Callithrix jacchus: one gene and its partner. The protein of the gene in region 2 purifies or fractionates together with the protein of the main gene of each other region. This does not show direct contact. Links are inferred from orthologs where the notes say so. Each region holds a gene or a part of one and is shown on either strand. Other genes may lie near its edges.

The links. The genes of interacting proteins can lie anywhere in the genome.
Region 1: the proteins of USP36 (region 2) and DHX33 purify together in Homo sapiens (affinity purification with mass spectrometry; 5 studies listed by BioGRID and IntAct, counting the BioPlex papers as one, with this or other methods). This does not show direct contact. The link is inferred for Callithrix jacchus from reciprocal best matches to the Homo sapiens genes USP36 and DHX33.

The regions. Positions count from the first base shown.
Region 1 is NC_133506.1:106,978,180-106,988,736, forward strand, and holds part of DHX33 (ATP-dependent RNA helicase DHX33), read right to left. Parts: intron 9,869-10,557; coding exon 9,683-9,868; intron 8,960-9,682; coding exon 8,848-8,959; intron 7,670-8,847; coding exon 7,510-7,669; intron 7,360-7,509; coding exon 7,271-7,359; intron 4,213-7,270; coding exon 4,085-4,212; intron 3,381-4,084; coding exon 3,177-3,380; intron 1,393-3,176; coding exon 1,306-1,392; intron 1-1,305. UniProt on the Homo sapiens protein: Implicated in nucleolar organization, ribosome biogenesis, protein synthesis and cytoplasmic dsRNA sensing. Stimulates RNA polymerase I transcription of the 47S precursor rRNA.
Region 2 is NC_133506.1:134,552,718-134,563,274, forward strand, and holds the end of USP36 (ubiquitin carboxyl-terminal hydrolase 36), read right to left. Parts: intron 10,132-10,557; coding exon 9,917-10,131; intron 9,826-9,916; exon of another isoform or gene 9,773-9,825; intron 9,088-9,772; exon of another isoform or gene 8,624-9,087; intron 6,848-8,623; coding exon 6,746-6,847; intron 6,146-6,745; coding exon 6,030-6,145; intron 5,651-6,029; coding exon 5,519-5,650; 3' UTR 5,500-5,518; intron 4,942-5,499; 3' UTR 2,729-4,941; downstream 1-2,728. UniProt on the Homo sapiens protein: Deubiquitinase essential for the regulation of nucleolar structure and function. Required for cell and organism viability.

The DNA.
Region 1 (10,557 bases), about 28 Mb from region 2:
AAAACCATGGGCACTGTCTCCATGATCAACAGCAAAAGAACACTTGAACTACCCTCTGCCTCTGACATAAAATGTATTATACAAGCATTAATTTATACCATGACAGGTCTTTAAAGCATCATGTATTCTAAGAGGGAATAAAAAGCTAATATAAAACTTTGCGGTGGACACTTTGGCAACATCTAACAAAATCTAAATTCCCCCATTGAGAAATTCATTCTGTGTGCACCACAGCACATATGGAAGAGGATGGTCATTATAATAGAACCAAAATGACATTAGAGGCTTAAATAAATTGCAGTGAATACAATGAAATGCTATGAAGTCACCAAAACGAATGAGACAGACACATGCAGCACTGAAAGCCCAGCCACAGGAAGTGTTCAAGAAATATGTCGCGTGAGGCTGGGTGCTGTGGCTCATGCCTGGAATCCCAGCACTTTGCGAGGCCAAGGCAGGAGGATCGCCTGAGGTCAGGAGTTTGAGACCAGCCTGGCCAACATGGTGAAACCCCATCTCTATTAAAGATACAAAAATTAGCCAGGCGTGGTGGCGCATATCTGCAATCCCAGCTACTCGGGAGGCTGAGGAAGGAGAACTGCTTTTCACTGGGAGGCAGAGGTTGCAGTGAGCCAAGATCGTGCCTCTGCACTCCAGCCTGGAGTGCAGGCTATTATTGTGACTCCATCACAAATAATAAAAAGAAAAAAAGAAATGTGTCACGCGGAAAAAAGCAAGTTGTGGAACATGTACATCATATACACATATCCATGTGTTTGTGTAGTCACACACAGGCACACACACATATGCACAAAAACATACAAACAGAAACAAATTCTAGAAGGATCTGCCTCAAACTGTTAACAGCAGTTATCTCTGGAGGAGCAGGATTATGGGAGACTTTTAAACTCTCTACATTATAAATTACTATTTTCTGCATTGTGTCAGTATTTAACAACTAAGCACTGCTTTTGTAATCTCAAAGAAAATAATGGCGATATTCCCACTAAAAAAAATTCTTATAAAGAATTCTAACTCTGGAAAATGCTTATGAAGATTATAAAACCAAATATAAATTATACATATCATGTAATTTACTATGTAAAAACATGCAATAAAAAACAGGCTATCAGGAAACAGACTAAACTACTGAGATGTGGAATTGTGGGTAACTTTTTTCCTTCTTTGTGAAATTTTCTACAATGAGAATTCCTTTTATAATCACTAGCAATAAGCACTTTAAAAATTCTACCTTGAACAAAGTGACAGCTATGTCACCCAAAGAACACTAGGAACAGATAATACCTTTAAGCAGATGTCCCTCAGCTGTGCTCGGACTTCAGTTACCAGCATCATATTCTTGCTGTTGACAAAATTCTCTTTGCACCAATCCTGAATAGGAGAAAGGGTGATAGTACAACCCATTCATTCACTATTTATTTGTTTATAGAGCTAGCATCTTGCTCTGTTGCCTAGACTAGAGTGCAGTGATACAATCTTACCTCACTGCAAACCCATCTTCCCACCTCAGCCTCCCAAACAACTTGAACTATCTGCAGCCACAACCATGCCCAGCCAACAATCCTCTCATCTCTATGGAGAGAACATAATGACGTTTTTAGAACACAGTTGAATTCAGAGGAAAAACTTCAGGTGCCAAAAAAGGAATGTAGGAAAATATCTTTATATCAAAAAACATGAATTATAAGGAAAAGTATTAATTTAAACTAAAGAAAAACTTCAAGTTTCCCAGATTGGAATATTTGTATCATCATATCCAATGAAAGATTAGAATCTCCAGAATAGATCTTTTTTTTTTTTTTAAGAGACAGGGTTTCACCATCTGGTCTCGAACTCTTCACCAAGCTGGTCTCAAACTCCTGACCTCAGGTGATCTACCCACCTCGGCCTCCCAAAGTGCTAGGATTACAGGTGTGAGCCACCACACCTGGTGAGAATAAATCTTAAAAGCTCTACAAGTCATTAAGAAAAAGATCAACAACCCAGTAGAAAAATAGACAAAGGATATGAACAGACACAGAAAAGGAAATATAAATGCCCAATCAATTTATATAAGGCTTCTTTTTCCCTCCCTTCCCCTCCTTCCTTCCTTTTTTTTTTTTGAGTTGGAGATTCACTCTTGTTGCCCAGGCTGGAATGCAATGGCACGATCTCAACTCACCTCCGCCTTCTGGGTTCAAGTGATTCTCCTGCCTCAGCCTCGAAAGTAGCTGGGATTACAGGCATGCAACACCATGCCCAGCTAATTTTTGTATTTTTAGTAGAGATGGGGTTTCTCTATGTTGGTCAGGCTGGTCTTGAACTTCCGACCTCAGGTGATCCGCCTGCCTCGGCCTCCCACAGTGTTGGGATTACAGGCGTTAGCCATCATGCCCATAATCATCTTTTTTCTTTTTTTGGAGACAGAGTCTCACTCTGTCACCTAGGCTGGAGTGGCAAGGTTTCAGCTCATTGCAACCTCTGCCTCCCAGGTTCAAATGATTCTCGTGCCTCAGCCTCCTGAGTAGCTAGAATTACAGGTGTGTACAACCATGCCTGGCTAAATTTTGTATTTTTAGTAGACATGGGGTTTTGCCATGTTGGCCACGCTGGTCTGGAACTCCTGGGCTCAAGTGATCCACCTGCCTTGGCCTCCCAAAGTGCTGGGATTACAAGCTTGAGAAACTGCCTGGCCCTGGGCAAGTTTTTCAACTACACAAAGCTTCATTTCCATGACTATATGTTTCATGAATATAAAAACTAGTAACAGTGCTCATTTCTTAGGATTATTATACTAAATGAGATAATACATTAAAAAGTGCTTCGCATGGGGCTTGGCACAGAATAAGCACTCATTAATTGGTATGCACTCTCATTATTAGACATATTTACTTTATTAAGCTCCAATTAAATTTTGATGGGTTGGGAGTCACTTAAGTCTTGCTGAATTAAACACATTCAAAACAAAGACCGGAATGACACATCTTCCTTGGTAATTGCCCAGTATTCAGACATTTCTAAAATGATGTCTGGCTTTCGTTTTGTGATTCTTTAGATAATTCAGCTAAAAAGGGAAAACGTAGTATGTATACGCCTTCAGTACAAAAAGGGAATCACATACCAGCGAAGAAGGGAAAGCAGCTGTCACTGGAGAAAAGGAACAAGACAAGGCTCACCTTATTTCCACCTATGTTTTTGAAGGTCCGATAGATGTTGAGCAGGGTAAAGTGATCCCCTTCACTGGATGTGAACTTCTTCCGGACCCCTTGTACTTCATCCCGCCGGGAAGGAGGGTTGTGGAGGATGCTGTCCACAGACAGCAGGGAGACAATGGTTAGGATCTCCTCTGTACAGTGGAATTTGGGGGACAGAAGGATGGTCTGCAAACCAAAATTTAAAATTGTGTAAACTTTCTCCCAGCTTTAGAATACACTATCTCTGCATATTGCTTTTGCAGGTTCCTTTCTAAGGAGTTAAAGGGCAGGTATTTCTGAAACCATGGCTATGTACATTAGTGTTATTTTACTCTTTAATATGAAATAAAACAGATGACTGCCTTCCCTACAGAGTTCCAAATATTTTTCCTTTTTTTCTGAGAGCCTTGATCTGTCACCCAACTTGGAGTGCGGTGGCATGATCTCGGCTCACTGCAACCACCACCTCCCGGGTTCAAGTGATTCTCCTGCCTCAGCCTCCTGAGTAGCTGGGATTACAGGTGCGTGCTACTGCGCCTGGCTAATTTTTTTGTAATTTTTAGTAGAGATGGGGTTTCACCATCTTGGCCAGGCTGGTCTTGAACTCCTGACCTCGTGATCCACCCGCCTCAGCTACCCAAAGAGCTGGGATTATAGGCATGAGCTACTGTGCCTGGCCCAGAGTTCCAAATTTCTTATGGGTAGGACTCTTGACTTGGTATCATTGAATCCCACACTGAACATATATCAGGGTTATATGCAAACTAGGGGTTGGTAATTATTTAAGAGAAAAAGTGAGATTAATCTAGAAGCACTGGGTTAATGGTTCTACTTTGGGATGGCTAACCTGTAATGTACAGAAAGGGGACTGAGGAGAGGGTATCATTTACTTTGGCAAATTTGGGTTCTAAAGGAAATGCTGCCATCTTTCTTCCAATTGGAGTCAGGGTAAGCTGGTCATCCTTATGTTCAAGAGCACCTAACAGGTCCAGTTGGGCAATGGCCGCCTGAATGTGATCTAAAGAAACAGAGACATAAAAAGGAGCCGAAAATCCAGAAAGGATAAAGTTGCAGCTAGTTCAGTATTTCTGGGAGCTTTTGATAACTCTACATCAAACAATAGCAAAACTTGCAACCACCACTACCCCCCGATGCACGTGTTGAAGAATGACATCACTGTCTTCAGTTCAATTCCCTTTTCTTTTTTTGAGACAGAGTCTTGCTCTGTAGCCCAGGCTGAAGTACAATGGGGTGATCCTGGCTCATTGCAGCCTCCACCTCCCAGGTTCCAGCGATTCTCTTGCCTCAGCCTCCTGTGTAGCTGGGACCACTGGCGCACACTACCACGCCTGGGTAATTTTTGTATTTTTAGTAGAAACAGGGTTTCACCATGTTGGCCGGGCTGGTCTTGAACTCTGGACCCCAGGGTATCTGCCTGCCTCAGCCTTCCAGTGTTAGGATTACAGGCGTAAGCCACCATGCCCTTTTTAAGTGACCTGTAATTTGGCGATATGTATGTAGAGTTTGAATATATACATCCATTGACCCATCAGTGTTACACTTATGAGTTTCACCTGTAGATTTACTCATACATTGCACAGAGACCATATTGCCAGAACCAAACACAAAACAATGGAAATACCAGTTGTGTCAGAGGCCAGCTGGGAGGCTGGGAGACAAGAAGGTGAGAAGGACATTATTACTATTTACTATTTTATATTTTTTAAACTTTGAACCTTGTATATATATTATCTATTAGAGAATAAAAAAGCATTTTTAAAGATGTAGTAAATATATATATCCCAATAAGGAATGATCTGTAAAGTGTATTAAATGAAAAAAAGCAATGTGCTTTTCACTGTTTTTTTAAAGCAATTTTGTCAATAGGAGGATGGATAAATGCATTTTCGTTTATTCACAGAATGGAATAGCACTTAGTGTGTAAAAGCATCAACACAAACTGTACAGAACATACTGAGTGAAAACAGCTTAATAAGGAATGAATTACATAAACTTACAACCTGAAACAACAGGTGGTTTAGGGATACATATGCATATAGTAAAATAAAGAAAAGCAAGGCAATTACAAACACGATGTGGGGGAGTGGTTACCCCAAGGGAGTGAAAGGAGGTGAGGGCAGCCAGGGAGGGGTCCTCAGGGCTTCGACTGGGTATACAGGTGTTGGATTTTAATCATTCCTTACCCCTCTGTATCTTATTCTTTTGTTTGTCAGGATTTAGCAATGAAAAAAAAATCAAGCATGGAACAGTGCTCAATGTGTGTTGCTATTTGTGTTTTAAAACATACTACATGCTGAACATGGTGGCTCATGACTGTAATCCCAGCCCTTGGGAGGCTGAAGCGGGAGGACCACCTGATGTCAGGAGTTCAAGACCAGCCTGGCCAACGTGGTGAAACCCTGTCTCTATTAAAAAATACAAAAATTAGCCAGGTGTGGCAGTGCACACCTGTAGTCCCAGCTACTTGGGAGGCTGAGGCAGGAGAATCACTTGAATCCAGTAGGTGGAGACTGCAGTGAGCTGGGATGGCACCACTGCACTCCAGCCTGGGCGACAGAGTGACGACACTCTGTCTCAAAAAAAAAAAAAAACCAGAGAAACAAAACAAAAACATACTACAGGGTGGCTTGGTGGCTCACACCTGTAGTCCCAGCTACTCGGGAAGCTGATGTGGGAGGTTGAGGCTGCAGTGAGCCAAGAAGGAGCCATTGCACTCTAGCCTGGAAAACCAGAGTGAAACCCTGTCTCAAAAATAAATAAATTAAACACACTACATATACTCACATATGCATACATTGCTCTAGAAGTCTACTAAAAAATGGTTCCAGTGGTTGTTCTAGGGGAAAAAACTATGAACCTGAGGATCAGGGCAGGACCCTTGTATACCCATCAATGGGTTACTTCGTGTTTTTCCTTTCTCCCAGCCTCCCCTCCCTTGCTCCCCTCCCCTCCCGCTCCCCTTCCCCTTCCTTCCTTCCCTTCCTTCCTCCTTCCCTCCGTCCGCTCCCCCCTCTCCCCCCACTTCCCCTTTCCCTTCCCTTCCTCTCTGTTTTTATTTTTGTCACCCAGGCTGAAGTGCAGTTGTGCCATCTCGGCTCACTGCAACCTCCACATCCCAGGTTCAAGCAATTATCCTGCTTCAGCCTCCTGAGTAGCTGGGACTACAGGCCCCCACCACCCTGCCTGGCTAATTTTTGTATTTTTGTAGAGATGAAGTTTCATCCTGGGGTTCAAACATGGGGTTTCATGTTGGCCAGGCTGGTCTTGAACCCCTGAGATCAGGAGTTCCTCCTTTGGGAGGCTGAGGTGGGTGGATCACCTCAGCCTTCCAAAGTGCTGGGATTATAGATAGGTGTGAGCCACTGCACCTGGCCTCCTTTTTCTTTTTAAACCAATTGCATTTCTTAAGAAAAGGGTGGGGGTGGGAGGAAAAGGAAAATGATGCACTGATGAGAGGCCAGGTACCAAAGCTACTCTCATAAAGAATTCCAGTTATTTTCTTCCTCTATAGAGAAATTACTAATGAACAGAAGAGACTGATCAAATTCCAGTGAAAAGCAAAGAAATGTGATCTCTGCAGTCCCTGTGCTGATAAAAGTACAATTTCATTAAATTTCTGCAGTACCCCAAGAACTCACATGATGACCTTCACTTGTTCTAGAGGTCAAGGAACCTTATGGATGGTGCTGATAGTACAGAATCTATAATTTCACAGCTAGGAGCATTGACACATGCCTGTGGCCCCAGCTACTTGGGAGGCTGAGGTGGTAGGATCACTGGAGCCCAGGAGTTGGAGGCTGTAGTGCACTATGATGGAACCTGTGAATAGACACTGTACTCCCACCTGGGCCACACAGTGAGACCCTGTCTCTTTAAAGTCAATCAACTTATCTATCTACGATTTCATGATTTTAAGATGCTTCTCAAATAGTTAATGTTGTTATCCACAAAATTAAATAAACAAAAGGGGATGACCAAAATATTTTATTTTTGGACACGTCCATTTGTTGTTTTTCTCTTCACCCACCTTCTGCAAAACTGTGGATTTCACTTACCTGGAGATGGCTTGGACATGAAGTCAAAGGTGAGCACATTTGGGACTTTCATTGCTAGAAGCTGAAGCATGACACTGGCCAGGTTACACCTGTGAAGAGCGTGAGACCAGGGTCATGACCTGATCCCTCTACCAGTGAGTCAGAACCACTCGACAAGGAGTGTGAGTAAAAGCGGCAGCTCTGGGCAAGCGGGAGAGACATGGGGACAAACAGCAGCAGTGCAGGAGCCTAGTGCCTACCTCTGGATCTCTGGCACAGTCATCTTATCAAACTTCTCAAACTCCTCCTCCGTGTAGAGCCGGTAACAAATGCCACTGTCCTCTCGGCCAGCCCTCCCTGTGCGCTGCCAGGCCTGGGTCTTCGATACCCGCTGCACTGCTAACACCTCAAGACCACTGTCTGGATGGAGAGTGAGCCCCATTAGTGCTTTATCACATGAACAAACTCTTTCTAGTGTTGAAAAAAGTACACCCGTGGTTCTTTCAGCAACACTGGGGTTCAGAAAATCTCAACACTAGCACATTGGATAGCGCAAAACCAGGTTGCTCCGCAGTGGTTTGGCCCTAGTGAAATAAGGCTTTGCAAAAAGCCCGGTGTGAAATCTGTTCCAAACACATCAGAAAAACCTCATGCATGCAGCAAGGGGCCAGAAGCATAGTTTCCGAGGTCTTGGCTTAGATGGCAGGATGGCCAACCCCTCCAGTTTGCTTGGGACAGAGGGTTTCCTGGGATGTGGGATTTGGGGTGCTAAAACCGGGACAGTTCCAACAAACTAGGATGGTGGTCATAGATCATACTATCAGTGACTCAGAAATTAAATGTCTCAAATCACTTGTGTGCTTTATCCTCCCTCCCAGTTCTGTTTTAAGATGGAAATACTGTGATGTCTGTTTTCCAGCAGTAAATGAGGTTCATTTCCTTGATAAAGGTGTATTCTGTGCCAGGCAATGGAGACTCAAGCTCTTTCATCTATGTCATCTCAAAAAGACACATGAGTGAAGTCAGGACCCTCGAATGTTTACTACAGCATTTCAGTTCAATAACTGGGAACAACAAATGCAGTGGCCTTAAATCCTCTGTGGAATTAAGCAAAGTATAAAACAGATACAAGTAAAGATGACCTTAAGTTAGCTTTCCACTGCACCTTCTCAGGAGAAGCCAGTGCTTCACCTTCCATGCCTCACCCCAGCCGGCGGGTCTGATTCCTTCCTGGGAAACCTGGGAGATCAAACCAGCCATATATATACTTTCTGATGAGAGCCTTCGATTGTTACCCAGCTGTCCCTGGTCTTACAGCAACTTCTGATAGGGTACCAGACCCTCTGCCCAGGTCCCTGACCCTGTCTTCCCACATAAGCTAAACCTGGGTTCTTTTCTGCCTCTACTTCCTGTCTCACATACCTGCCTCAGGACTCCTTTGTGGACTCAGATTGTAGATTATCTCACCCGTGGTGCCTGCCACCCGAATCTGTTCGTTACAAACATCAAACACTCACTCAGGGGAACACTGTGGGACTACAGTTTCAGTGGTTGCTCACTAGTCACAGGAGAGACATTCATGAACTACGAATTCTCACCAGGGTTATACTTCTTTGCTTTAACCATGCCCGTGTCAACTACATATTTTATTCCTGTAATGGTTATGGAGGTTTCAGCGATGTTGGTTGAAATGATCACTTTGCGATAGCCCTAAAAGGAGGAAGAAAACCAAAAAGCCGTATGACACACAGATGATTCAGAAGTGTTCAAACATATTCTCACCATTAATTTCCACAATTCGCTCATGACCAAGAAAAGATGACTTCATTATTAATGGCAGTCATTAATATCAATGGTTGGTCATTAAACTGGGCGGGGGAAGGGGACGTTGCAGTCTTAAAGGTAAATGTGAGGCAATGAGATGTGGTGGAACAAGCATGGGAATCAGAAGCAAGTAGATGTGGGTTGGAATCGTGGCCCTGTCAGTGACTTACTATGTGGCCCCCTGAGCAATTTACTTCCCCTCTTGGGGCCTTGGGACCCCCATGGGATCATAACCTGCCTTGCTGGTTCCCACAAGGATGAGAGACAGTGGATATAAATGCTAGCACAGTGCCTGGCATGGCAAAGGCACACAATAAATAGCACTATGGACAAATGCAATTTATGCTGGTTCTCAGAAGTCACTCATTTACCTTCCAGCTTTTGTTATACTCTCCCTCATCCCAACAACTGTCTCCCTGCTCCTGTCATAGGAACGCTGTATCTGTCTCTGTGCATTGTATCCCTGCACCTTCTCAATGAGCTGATCTGGTACCTGGGCATCCCATCCCATACACCTCATCTGGAGCCTGGTAATAGGTACACACACCTCACTGGTGGATCCGTCTGGGTGCCCAGAATGGGGCTGGACAGAAGAGGTGGTGTACTCACCTTTGGGGCCCCTTGGAAGACTCGGAGCTGCTGTGCATAGGGCAGGGAGGCATACAGAGGAAGGACCAGCATCGCAGGGCAGCTGTCTGGGAGGTGCTTTGCAATGTCGCGGCAGGTTTTGCTCATGGCCTCAATCTCCTCCTGACCAGTGAGGAACACCAGGATGTCCTGTGAAGAAGGGGCTTCCTATAAAAAAGGTGGAGTGGGATTACTAGGCATTGACAGAATTGTAGCTTGCATAGAAAAAGACAATGGTGATTGATGATGTTTCTCAGAGTTCTTTTTCTTATGAAAATAAACATGAGCCTAAAAGTTGATGTTTCCCTTGGAGAAAACCCTTAACCAGCAGTGCATAAAACGATTAACAGGCTAGGTGTGATGGCTCATGCCTGTAAACCCAGCACTTTGGGAGGCCAAGGCAGGAGGATCGTTAGCGGCCAGAAGTTTGTGACCAGCCTGGGAAACACAGCAAGACCCCATCTCTACAAGACGTTTTTTTTTTTTTTTGAGACGGCGTTTCGCTCTTGTTACCCAGGCTGGAGTGCAATGGCGCAATCTCGGCTCACCGCACCCTCCGCCTCCTGGGTTCAGGCAATTCTCCTGCCTCAGCCTCCCGAGTAGCTGGGATTACAGGCACGCGCCACCACACCCAGCTAATTTTTTGTATTTTTAGTAGAGATGGGATTTCACCATGTTGACTGGGATGGTCTTGATCTCTTGACCTCGTGATCCACCCGCCTCAGCCTCCCAAAGCGCTGGGATTACAGGCTTGAGCCACCGCGCCCGGTCCTGATATATTTTTTTTTAATTGGTCAGGGGTGGTGGCACATGCCTAGAGTTCCAGCTGCTTGCCACTGCACTCCAGCCAGGATGAC
Region 2 (10,557 bases):
CTTCGTCTAGCATCTCTAGTATAGGTCCCCACAGAGGATGGAGGAACAGCCCCCACACTACACTTCTTTCCCGCTCTCCCATGTCAACCACGCAGCCTCTCTGGGAGATGTCAGATTGGAACAGTGGGTCTGCCCAGCAGCTGCCCTGGGAACTGTTGGACATGCACATTCTCAGGCCTCATCCCAGACCTGCTGAATCAGAATGTGGGGAAGGAGCCCAGCAACTGCTGTTTTAAGGACTCCCTGGCAATGCTGGCACTCACTCAAGTTTGAGACGGGACCAGGACGGCAGCTCTCAACCCTGCTGCTAGCTACAATCCCCCCTGGGAAGGTTTGAAATGCCAATGCCCAAGCCTCACCCATAGATTCTGATGCCACATACGTCAGTATCAAATGCCTCTCCCCAAGTGCTCCTGCTGCCCCACGAGGAGCACTGAGAACCCTGAGGAAGGAGGGAGAAGGGAACAGAGGGAGAGAAGTTGGTTTTAGCTCTGGTTTTCCCGTGTTGTTTAATTTTTTGGGGGAGGTGGGAATTCTTGAGGTAGCATCAGAAGTCACTTGCCAAGGGTAGTAGGCACATACGCAATGGGAGAGCAAAACAGTTTGCAATCATCACTGAAAAAGATGAGAGAGGAAGGAGTTGCCTGAAGACCAAGGACAGAAATCCAAAAAGGCAGGCAGAGACCAGTGAAGGGCAGCCAGACAGCCCTGAAAGCCGAGTCCATGGCACCCAGACCGCCTTCTCCAAGGGTCATCCATCCCCAGTCCAGATGCGGAAGGAGTGGGGGCCGAGTCATGGTGGGGTCTGTAGAAAGCAGCAGCAGGGCCACCTCTGGGCAAAGTGTGAGCTCCGGGGAGTTGGCTCAGGTGAGAAGGCACAGAAAGCTGCCCCTCCGCATGTCACGTGACCCATCTGCACACAGTCCTCCTCTATCACCACCCCCTCGCTTTACCCACATCCTCATCTGCACTAAGGCTGTCCAAGCTATGAAGACTCGAGGCAGGGATTCTCACAGCATCCATTGTTAAACTGGCCTGAAGGTCGCTGCCATAGTTAGAATGAGCCCTATCAGTGTTAGGGACAAATGGATGCCCACCTGATTTCACAGTGTCCAGACACCTGGGCTTTTTCCTAACTGGAGGACTTGGAGCTCACCCACTGCCTACTTCCCATGCCTATGATTCTTCCTGGGTTCCCTGTTCTGGTAACATGTCAACTATGTCAGACTGAATCGCTTGCCACCTAAAGGCCTTCCTGAAACCATCAGTGGGCCACCTGCTTCTCTACTACTTGGCCTCTGAACTCAACTGCCCACCCTAGCAGAAATCATCTTAAACTCCACCCAGAACCTTCCACCATATATCTGTCACCTCGCCTCTTCTCCCAAATACCCAACTGACCCCACTTCTAGCCTCTGCTACTATTGTCAATCTCTTAGCTCCAGCCTCGGCCACTTCTTGGCCAGCCTGGTGGTCTGGTCATCCTCACCCGCTGTCCCCTGAGCTCTACTTGCAGCCTGTCAGGCCATCAGGCAGCCTGGAATCCACTTTCAGCCTCAGGAGTCTAGAAAGCACATCAGACAAATGGCAGACGCTTCTTGTCAACCAAAATCTGCCCTGCACTTTTGCACCTGACTTAGTTACCAGCCGAGTCCCGCTAGCCAGCTCCCACATCCAACCCTCTTTCTGAATGTCACCTCACCCCATGGTGCTTCAGGCAGAACTCGTCACAGGATCCTCGTGGCCTCCCTGTATCTCCCTAACAGCACCCGCCCTGCCCTGGAGCCGTCAGTCCTGCCCGTGGACCTGCCCGCCGCCTGTGAGACCACATCAGTGTGTTCACCTTTACACACCCAGAAGCAGCCCTAGTATGTGGGAAACAGCAGTTAAGAATGGAAAAACTGACGGACCGCTATGTCAGGAGATTGAGACCAGGCTGGCCAACATGGTGAAACCATCTCCACTAAAAATACAAAAATTGGTTGGGCATGGTGGTGTACACCTGTAATGACAGCTATGCAGGAGGCTGAGGCAGAAGAATAGCTTGAACCTGGAAGGTGGAGGTTGCAGTGAGCTGAGATCGTGCCACTGCACTCCAGCCTGGGTGATAGAGCAAGACTTTGTCTCAAACCAAAACAGAATGGAAAAACCAGTCTCGCCCGTGTCACCACTGTGCCCGGCACTGGTGTCAGGTCACCACCTCTCCGAGTCTCAGAACCCCTCAACCGCTGCCCAGGCTATGATGCAAATGCCTTCAGACAAGACCTCTGGGTCAACAGTGTGCCCCACCCTCTGCAACCCCTTTGGTTTGGGTCCAAGAGCTGCCTTACCTCCCATCTTCTTACTTGGTTGTCCTCATTTTGGGGTGTCCAGCCAAACCCCTAGGGAGAAGTGAAGACATGACATCCTCTGGTGGACACCCTGGGGTGGAGGTTTCCAAGTTGCTCGAGGAGGAGGAGGTAACGAGCCACACACACAAGTCACAGAGCTGAGGAGAGCATTCATGACTGGACCCCCTGCACCACCACCCACCTGTGCCCAAGGTTCAGTCTCCTGGTCACCCCATTCACCAGGGCTGCTCTCACCAAATGTAACCTCCTGGTCACTGGACTCTGTGCGGGGACCTACCTGCCCCTCCTAGCCCAACTTCAACTTCCAGAACAGGTGGAATCAGCGAGACCCTGGTTGGGAGTTACCTTTTTAAAAATCAAGGGAAAAAACAAAGATACAGGACTCACAAAAACACAGGATTTTATTGCACCAAGATCTTGGCAACATGTGGGACTCCCCAGGCCCCTGGAGAGGAGGTGCAGCACACAGACAGGTGCAGCCATGCAACCAGGATGCGGGGCAGGTGAGAGAAAGGACCCGGGAGAGGCAGCGCTGTGCACAGGCCCCACTCCCTCCGGCTCCATTTCCAAGCACGAAACTCAATAGACCCAGATCCTAAGTCAATCAAGTTGACTGCTACGACAAAGGCGTGACTTACTGACATCTACCTCCATACGTGCACATCACCTAGAAGCTGAGCTCGTTTACTGGGCCTCATCTTTCCCCCCCATCTGGCTGATGGCTCCTGTGGAGGGAAGGGACGGGACTGCATCCAACAGTGATAAAGGCTGCAGAAGTCATCTCGTGCTCACCACTGCCCAAGAGTTAACCAACGTATGTTCCTCAGGAAATGGTTTTACAGTTTCTAGTGGAGAAGGGAAGAGACTGATTTGGAGGAGAGAAGGGAGAGAAAGGCAGGAGATAGATTCTGTGCTAGCAGACAACTAATTTTCAACTACAGAACATCACACAGAACACATGGCAGAGGAAACAGTTCACATTGGAATGCAAGTCAACACCTGAGAGGAAGAGGAACACACCCTGCCCACGAAGGCACGTGCTTTCCCTCCCAGGTAAGTTACAAAAGCCAGAGCGTGGAAGCCAGGCCCTCATCTTTGAACATTCAGAGACTGGTCCACAGGAGAGCGCAGAGGACACCCTGACCCGGTCAGGGCAAGCCTCCACTCGCTGCTGCTGGGACAGAGGCAGCCACACAGGAGCATGATTCTCTCCCACCTTTCTAAAAACAGAAATGTAAAAAGCGGAAGAAAATCCAAAAAGAGCCACCCACCCACATGGAAAAAATAAATGTATCTTCCCTTATTAAAAAGGCAATTCTTTCTACAACCAGTAACCACCCAGGTCTCAAGCACGGAGGCAGGAAGCAAACCTGCCCCAGGAAGAGGGGATGCAGACAGCGAGGCAGCCCCCCAGACGGCAGGACGCCTCCGGCCCCGCAGAGCCACACCGAAGCAGCTCTGAGTCCAACGCCAAGTCCATCTCCAGCTGCGATGACGCCGGGGGAAAACGCCAGGGAGAGACCCGGCAAGGAAGGGTGTTCATTGTCACCTTCACGCTTCCCACTCCTATGAGGGCATCTTTTTCTTGAAAACATCCCCTTCTCTGAGGATTTCCCATATTTATTTAATTACAAGTTGGCAGGCACAGCTTGAGCAAGATAGAAAAGTAATCTTCTTGAGTTATACAATCATTTAAATTCCAAAGCACTCACAAAATTGGGCAAACAAAGCCACTATTTGCATATCTGGGAAAGGAAATATATTGCTAATGGAAGCCACGGGCCTGGTCAAAAATAAATGTTTTGTATTAAGTAGTAAAATAAATGGAGAATTCTCCCCCAAGGCCCCCACCTCAGTGAAGACCTGTGGGTTATTGCATCTGCGAAGGAAGCCACAGCACAGCCGTCTCAGAATCGACAGTGGCCTTGAAAGCAGATGTATTTGCAGGTAATATCAAGGGCTCCCCGGACCCCAGACAGCCTCTGCTCTGCAGGACAGTCAAGAGTTACTCACAAGGAAGGGCTGCACAGCAGCGTCACCCTCTTGAGTTCCATAAAAGGGAGAGGTGGCTGGCTGGGGTTGGCCTCAGGGCTCTTCCTTTCTAAGGACAGGTAAGGCCAAAAGACAAAGGGGCCCCACCAAGGAAGCAGGGAGGGCAGGCTCAGACACAACGGTATCGCCAGCCCCAAGGAGCAAGGAACGGCTCACCAAGAGCAACCAGCCACGCACCGGGAGGCCACCTGGGAGACGAGTGGCCATCATCCCCCACTCTCTCGATAGCCCCAACTAGGGACAGGAGCCTCTGTCAGCACAGACACCGTCCATGAACATGAGATCACGCAGCCCGACGCAGATGTCTAGCAGGCGTACGGCCACCTCTGCTCCCCCCACACACTGGAGCTTCTCTTGCAGGACTGGTTGGAAATGTCACCAGAGGTCCCAATCTAGAGAAGCCTCAAAGGCTCTACATCGGGTCGTCTGTGGACACTGATACTGGGAGAGCTCCTACCATGGCAGCAGAGCCCACACAGAAGGCTCCCTCAGGTCCACATGGACAGGTTCCAGGAAGGGACGCCTTGTCTCCAGGAGGCTGCAGAACAAAGCATAGCAGTCCTGACGGTGAGAAACAGGACATCTTCCCATGGCCACCCTCGGTGTGGGTCCAACCCAGGAACCCAAGGCACAGCACCTCGATGCAGCCGGCAAACCCCACACACCTTTCTTCCAAGTGACCAGGACATGCCAGATATACACACCCCACATTCTACACACCCTTTGGCAAGTGAGGGGACACACGCCAGATATACACACACCGCATATCTCACACATATTGCACACACAACCCACACACCCTTCTGCAAGTGACCAGGACACACACCACAAATGCGCACACACTACAGGCACCCCCTTATACACATATATCCCACACACACTTTTCTCCAAGTGACTAGGACACATACCACAGATGCACCTACATCAGATACACACCACCTAACATACACGTGCCAGATACACAGCCCACATACATCACACACAAACACACACACGACACACCCCACCACACCCTCTATACACAACCCCCCCCCACATACACACAAACCCCCCCACATGGCCCCCCCACCCTCATGCCCACCCCCTAGGAACCGACCTCTTCCACAGCGGTGCTGTCAGCGGCGGTAGCTGAGACTGGCAGCCTTTGCTGGGTGAGTCACGGACCAAAAGTTCCGTCGAGTCTGAAGTTTCTGGAAGGCATTGAAGTTTCTCCTCTTCTCTCTCTTATATTTTTTAATTTTCTTTTCCTAGACCAAGAATCACAGGTATCACAGTTCCCAAAAAGGTTCTTTCCTGGCTCATGGGGCTCCATGCAGTTCACCAGCTTCCTGCGAACAGGCAGGGCTCTCGAGAGCTCTCTGGAGACCCACTCTTCACAACTACCCCTTCGCACGGCACCCTGCTGTCCCCCTCTACTGACAAAGCTGCAGAAGCTGCGAGGATGTATGCCCTGTCCACGGCCACCCGCCCAGACAGGCCTGGGCAGCCTGGCTCTTATGCTCAGCTGCTTCACACCGCTGCTGCCACCTCCAACTGCCCTGGTCACATGCAGTTCCCTGCCCCGGCCCTAAGCTGAGACACGCCACCCTGCTGCCTCAGGCCTGTGGGCACCATTAAGCATCATACCTTCCCTCTGTCAAACTCTTCGTCCCAGTTGTCAATCACGGTATGGGTCCGGGCCAGTCTGCTCTCTTCAATAGCATCCTGGCTAACCGCCGACACCTTGCCATCCCAGGTCAGAACTACCAGGCAGACACAGGTGTGAGCGAGCGTGCAGGTTCGTAGGTACCCTGTGGCTTCACTTCAAGAGTGTCATTTACCAACAAGACTAGTCTATACTCACAGTCAGTCAACAATTTTGAGCGCCATCTTGTGGCGAACAGAAGGACAAGAGGAGGACAGCTGGATACCCTCTCAGCTAAACCCTAACCCATGACCGCACAGTTCAGTTCTCTCTAAACCCATGACCTCGTCTGAGGAACAAGGATTTCATGTTCTGCCTTGAAGTCTGAATAAAATCCTGCTCCAAGTAAGAAGCGACACTGCCTACATTGGAAGAGCTTTGCCACTCTGCCCGTGTCCTACCCAAGACCAGCATGTGTTGGGCTCCTCACCCTGCCCAACCCTCAGAAGCAGCTGTTCTGAATCCTGCACGGATGGAAGCCACCTTCATGTCACAGCTGAGGGTTTAAAGAGGATTCCAGCAAGCGCTGAGGTTCTTCTTCCTACTCTCAAGTGATGCCCGCCCTCCACACTCACAGTACACTAGGGTCCATTCCACACCTTCCCTCATCCAGAATAAACCAATCAAGGGCCAACAAGTGCTGTCTCAAAGCCAGTACCTTTTCTCCCGTAAGCTTTATCCGATGAGTATTTGAGCAGTTCCTGTACCACATCAGACTCTTGCTCTCCATTCCAAGACACAGGAGGGGCTGGGTCCAGCCCTGCAATCAGAGCAGCCAAGAAACATTTATCAACATTGAAAATAACCCACCAGGGAAACAACCGCTTATCTCTTTTTTCCTTCTTCTAAGATAGGGTCTCACTATGTTGCCCAGGCTGGTTTCAAACTCCTGAGGACTCAAGTGATTCTCCTGCACTGGCCTCCCAAAGTGCTGGGATTATAGGCATGAGCCATGTTCTGCCTCGTTGTCCCAGTCGTCAACCACGGTCTGGGTCCGGGCCAGTCTGCTCTCTTCAATAGCATCCTGGCTAACCGCCGACACCTTGCCATCCCAGGTCAGAACTACCAGGCAGACACAGGTGTGAGTGAGTGTGCATTAGGTGCCCAGCCTAAATGCTTATTTACTAAAGTTCTGATGAAACAGAGAAGGCTGTTGTCCAAGTCAATTCATGAAAAAGAAAACATGCAAAATAACAAAAAGCTTGGAAGCAAAAAAACCCTCCAAACCCTCCTTAACCAGCAGTGTAAGTTCTCAGTCTGTCAGAGGGAGGGAAGAAAACCAGATCCAAATGGACTCCACTTCACCTAAGGGAGAGGCCCTGGGCCCCAGGACCAGCCCGACACCTGAATGGCCACAGAGATGAAGGGAACGGCCAAGCTTGGCTGCTGCCATGGGGACCCCGACCTGAGCCCTGTCCAGGGGGAACCTAGTCCCCATCAGCAATGCTGTGCAGGTCCACCATGCACGTCGGGACAAGGACAGCACTCAGCACCCTCAATGGGTTGTAGAGACCGTTTCTGAACTAGTCCTCTGCCCAGCCAGCCACAAAGCCCCTGGAATAAACTCACCTTCCTTCATACAAATGACCTGCAGGGTGCTGTGTGAAGGGGTTGTTGTGAAGAGTGCATCTCCAGAGAGCTTGCAAGAGCCCTGCCTGTTAGCAGGAAGCTAATGACCTCGCCTCTCCCTGCCTCCAATTCTCAATCACCTCCAGACTAAGTGTCCTCTGCCCTGGCACAACAGCATCCATGGCTCCCTCTTGTCCACACAGTTCAGGGACCTGGCCACGCAGAGCAGTGTGCCTGGTGCCAACGTGCTGCGCCTCCTGCCTTTGGGGCTGGTACCCTGCCCATTTAGCCACTCTCCTTGGTGCACAGTACAGAGGGTGGATGGGGCCAGGCACTCTCCCACAGAGCCCATGCAGCCCCCAGTGCCTGCCTGCTGAGCATGAACCATCACTGTGCGGTTCTGCCTCTGGCAGGGAGTCCTGAGGGCCCAGGGAGCACTGCTCAGGATGTACAGCCAGCACCTGGCATGCACCCGGCATGGACCCGGGCATACCGCAAGTGCTCAAGTGATGTCCCTCAAATTCCTGCACTAACAAGCCAACTCCGCTTTGCTGCGAGGGCAGCACAGAGCACAGCTCAGGCACAATATTGGTGCAACGTTTTCTTTTGTTATAGCACAAGTTACGTATTTCAAAAGGACAAGAAGTTAGTATCATTTACAGTATCTTGAGATAAATTTCCTTGTCAGGCACGGTGGCTCAAGCCTGTAATCCCAGTACTTCGGGAGGCTGAGGTGGGTGGATCATGAGGTCAAGAGATCAAGACCATCCTGGTCAACAAGGTGAAACCCCATCTCTACTAAAAATATAAAAAATTAGCTGGTCGTGGTGGCGCACGCCTGTAATCCCAGCTACTCGGAAGGCTGAAGCAGGAGAATTGCCTGAACCCCAGAGGCGGAGGTTGCGGTGAGCCAAGATCACACCATTGCACTCCAGCCTGGGTAACAAGAGCGAAACTCCGTCTCAAAAAAAGTGTCCTTTGAATGAGAGCTTCCTTTCCAGTACTTTGAGGTCTACAAGGTGTACCTAGAAAATTTACTACTGTGGAAAATGACTGCTTAAATCTAATGGGGGGGGGGGAAGGCCTGTGGTTTTTCTTTTTGATTAATTGCTGTAACACTGACCTTCAGGCAGCTGAGGGAATTTCGTATTTTCTTTAGACATCATTAGGCGCTGAAGCTCTTGTAGGACAATATTGATGCTATATGAATTCTGCCATTTTGCTAGCACTGATATGACTCTTGGGTCCACCACTCCATTAGAACTATTAACTCCATTCGTATTAATTTTTGTTACAAATCTTACAAAGGGGGGTGCTTCTTGGTATTTAAGGCCACATTCTATTTTAAGGCTGTATATTTGGTTTTCATAAACTGTCCGAGCCTGTGGTGGCTGCCATCTTGTGTCGCTGTCACTTGAAGGCCTGCCTCTTCTTTACCCCCACCCGTCGCCTCAGTGCAACGCTTCTGACAGCATGCTGGCCAGCACCACAGTCGGCGCCAGCTCGCGCCCGTGTTCCACAATCTATTCCATACCATTTCATTTTTATCGATAAATTCCTTTCTTAAGAGTTGGATTAATACAAATCAGTCTCCTGATTCAGGGTTCTGTTGGCCCCCAGATGCACTGCCATAATCGGATCTTCCAGACCACAGAGGAGGCCTCACTCAAGCTCGTTCCCCCATACCAAGCCGCCAGGACGTTCTCTACCCTTCACTTAACAAATGTGTTCTGTGGTGGGTGCCTGCCAAGGCATGCCCGACCAAGTCCTAAAGAAAACAAAAGACCCTCCAGCTGGGGGTGGTGCCCAAGCACAGCCACAGCACACAGGTCCCCAACACCAAGAGCACCATGCTATGTTCTGAAAGGCCCAACTACATAGAGGTAGAGGAGAATTAACTTTTGAACCCCACCCTTCTAAATTCAAGCGTCACAGAAAAAAACTCAGGCTGGGAGTTCAGGGAGTCATTCCATGGGAAGCTGTAGACAGGAACAGCTTTGAATCGGAAGACCCACGGTAGTCACAGAATGTTCTAAAGTTCATGTGCACTGTAACCTCTCCCATGGGTCGTTTCAGTCAAATGCTTTGACATGTAAGGAAGCTTTGACCCCATCACCCAAGGGAACAGACTCGGGGGTTGTGGCTGAAGGTTGGCAGGATCCTCCACATCTTCTCCCAGACCCTCCCCCAAGCTCAAACACAGTAGGTACTGCTCTCAGCCTGTAAGCTCACCAACACCCCCCCTCGCCCAAATGCATACCCATGTGGTCCCCAGGACACCAGCCATTCACAGACGGCGCATGGCTGCTGGACTCAGGGACAGCAACGTCTTGGGACTTGGCACTCCTCGGGTCTTCGCAATGTCTGTCCTCTTCTACTGCCTGCTGTGGCTCCTGCTTTCTTTTTTTCTTTTTCTTTTTCCTTGGAGACTCTTCCATGGCCTCTGGGTCACCGTCACCCATGCGAGAGCAGCTGCTGGGAAGTGAGAGGCAACAGTCAGCTCTGAGCAAGTTGGAAGGGAAGCAGGAGCTTACACCCACCCCACCTGCAGGATGGAGAGGTCGCCATCCCAGCTGTGACCCAGGGAGCTCACAGACACCTGCCGGCAGCATGGAGAAGATGCCACCTCAGCTGTGACCCAGTGCACAGGGCTCCCTGTAACATTCTTCTACACGCATTAGCGGATGCTCTACACACAGCCACATTTCCCATCCTAACTGAGCCAAGCCTGCCAAAGCCAATGTGCAGGCTGCCTGGGACCTGATATGACTGCAGAGCCTACCCCGGCCAGGGATCACCTAACCCAGTATTCGTGGACAGCCCTGCTCATACAATGATGGACACTACTGTCCACACCACTGTCATTTCAAGGACCAATCCACTGGTATTTATCAGAGGAGA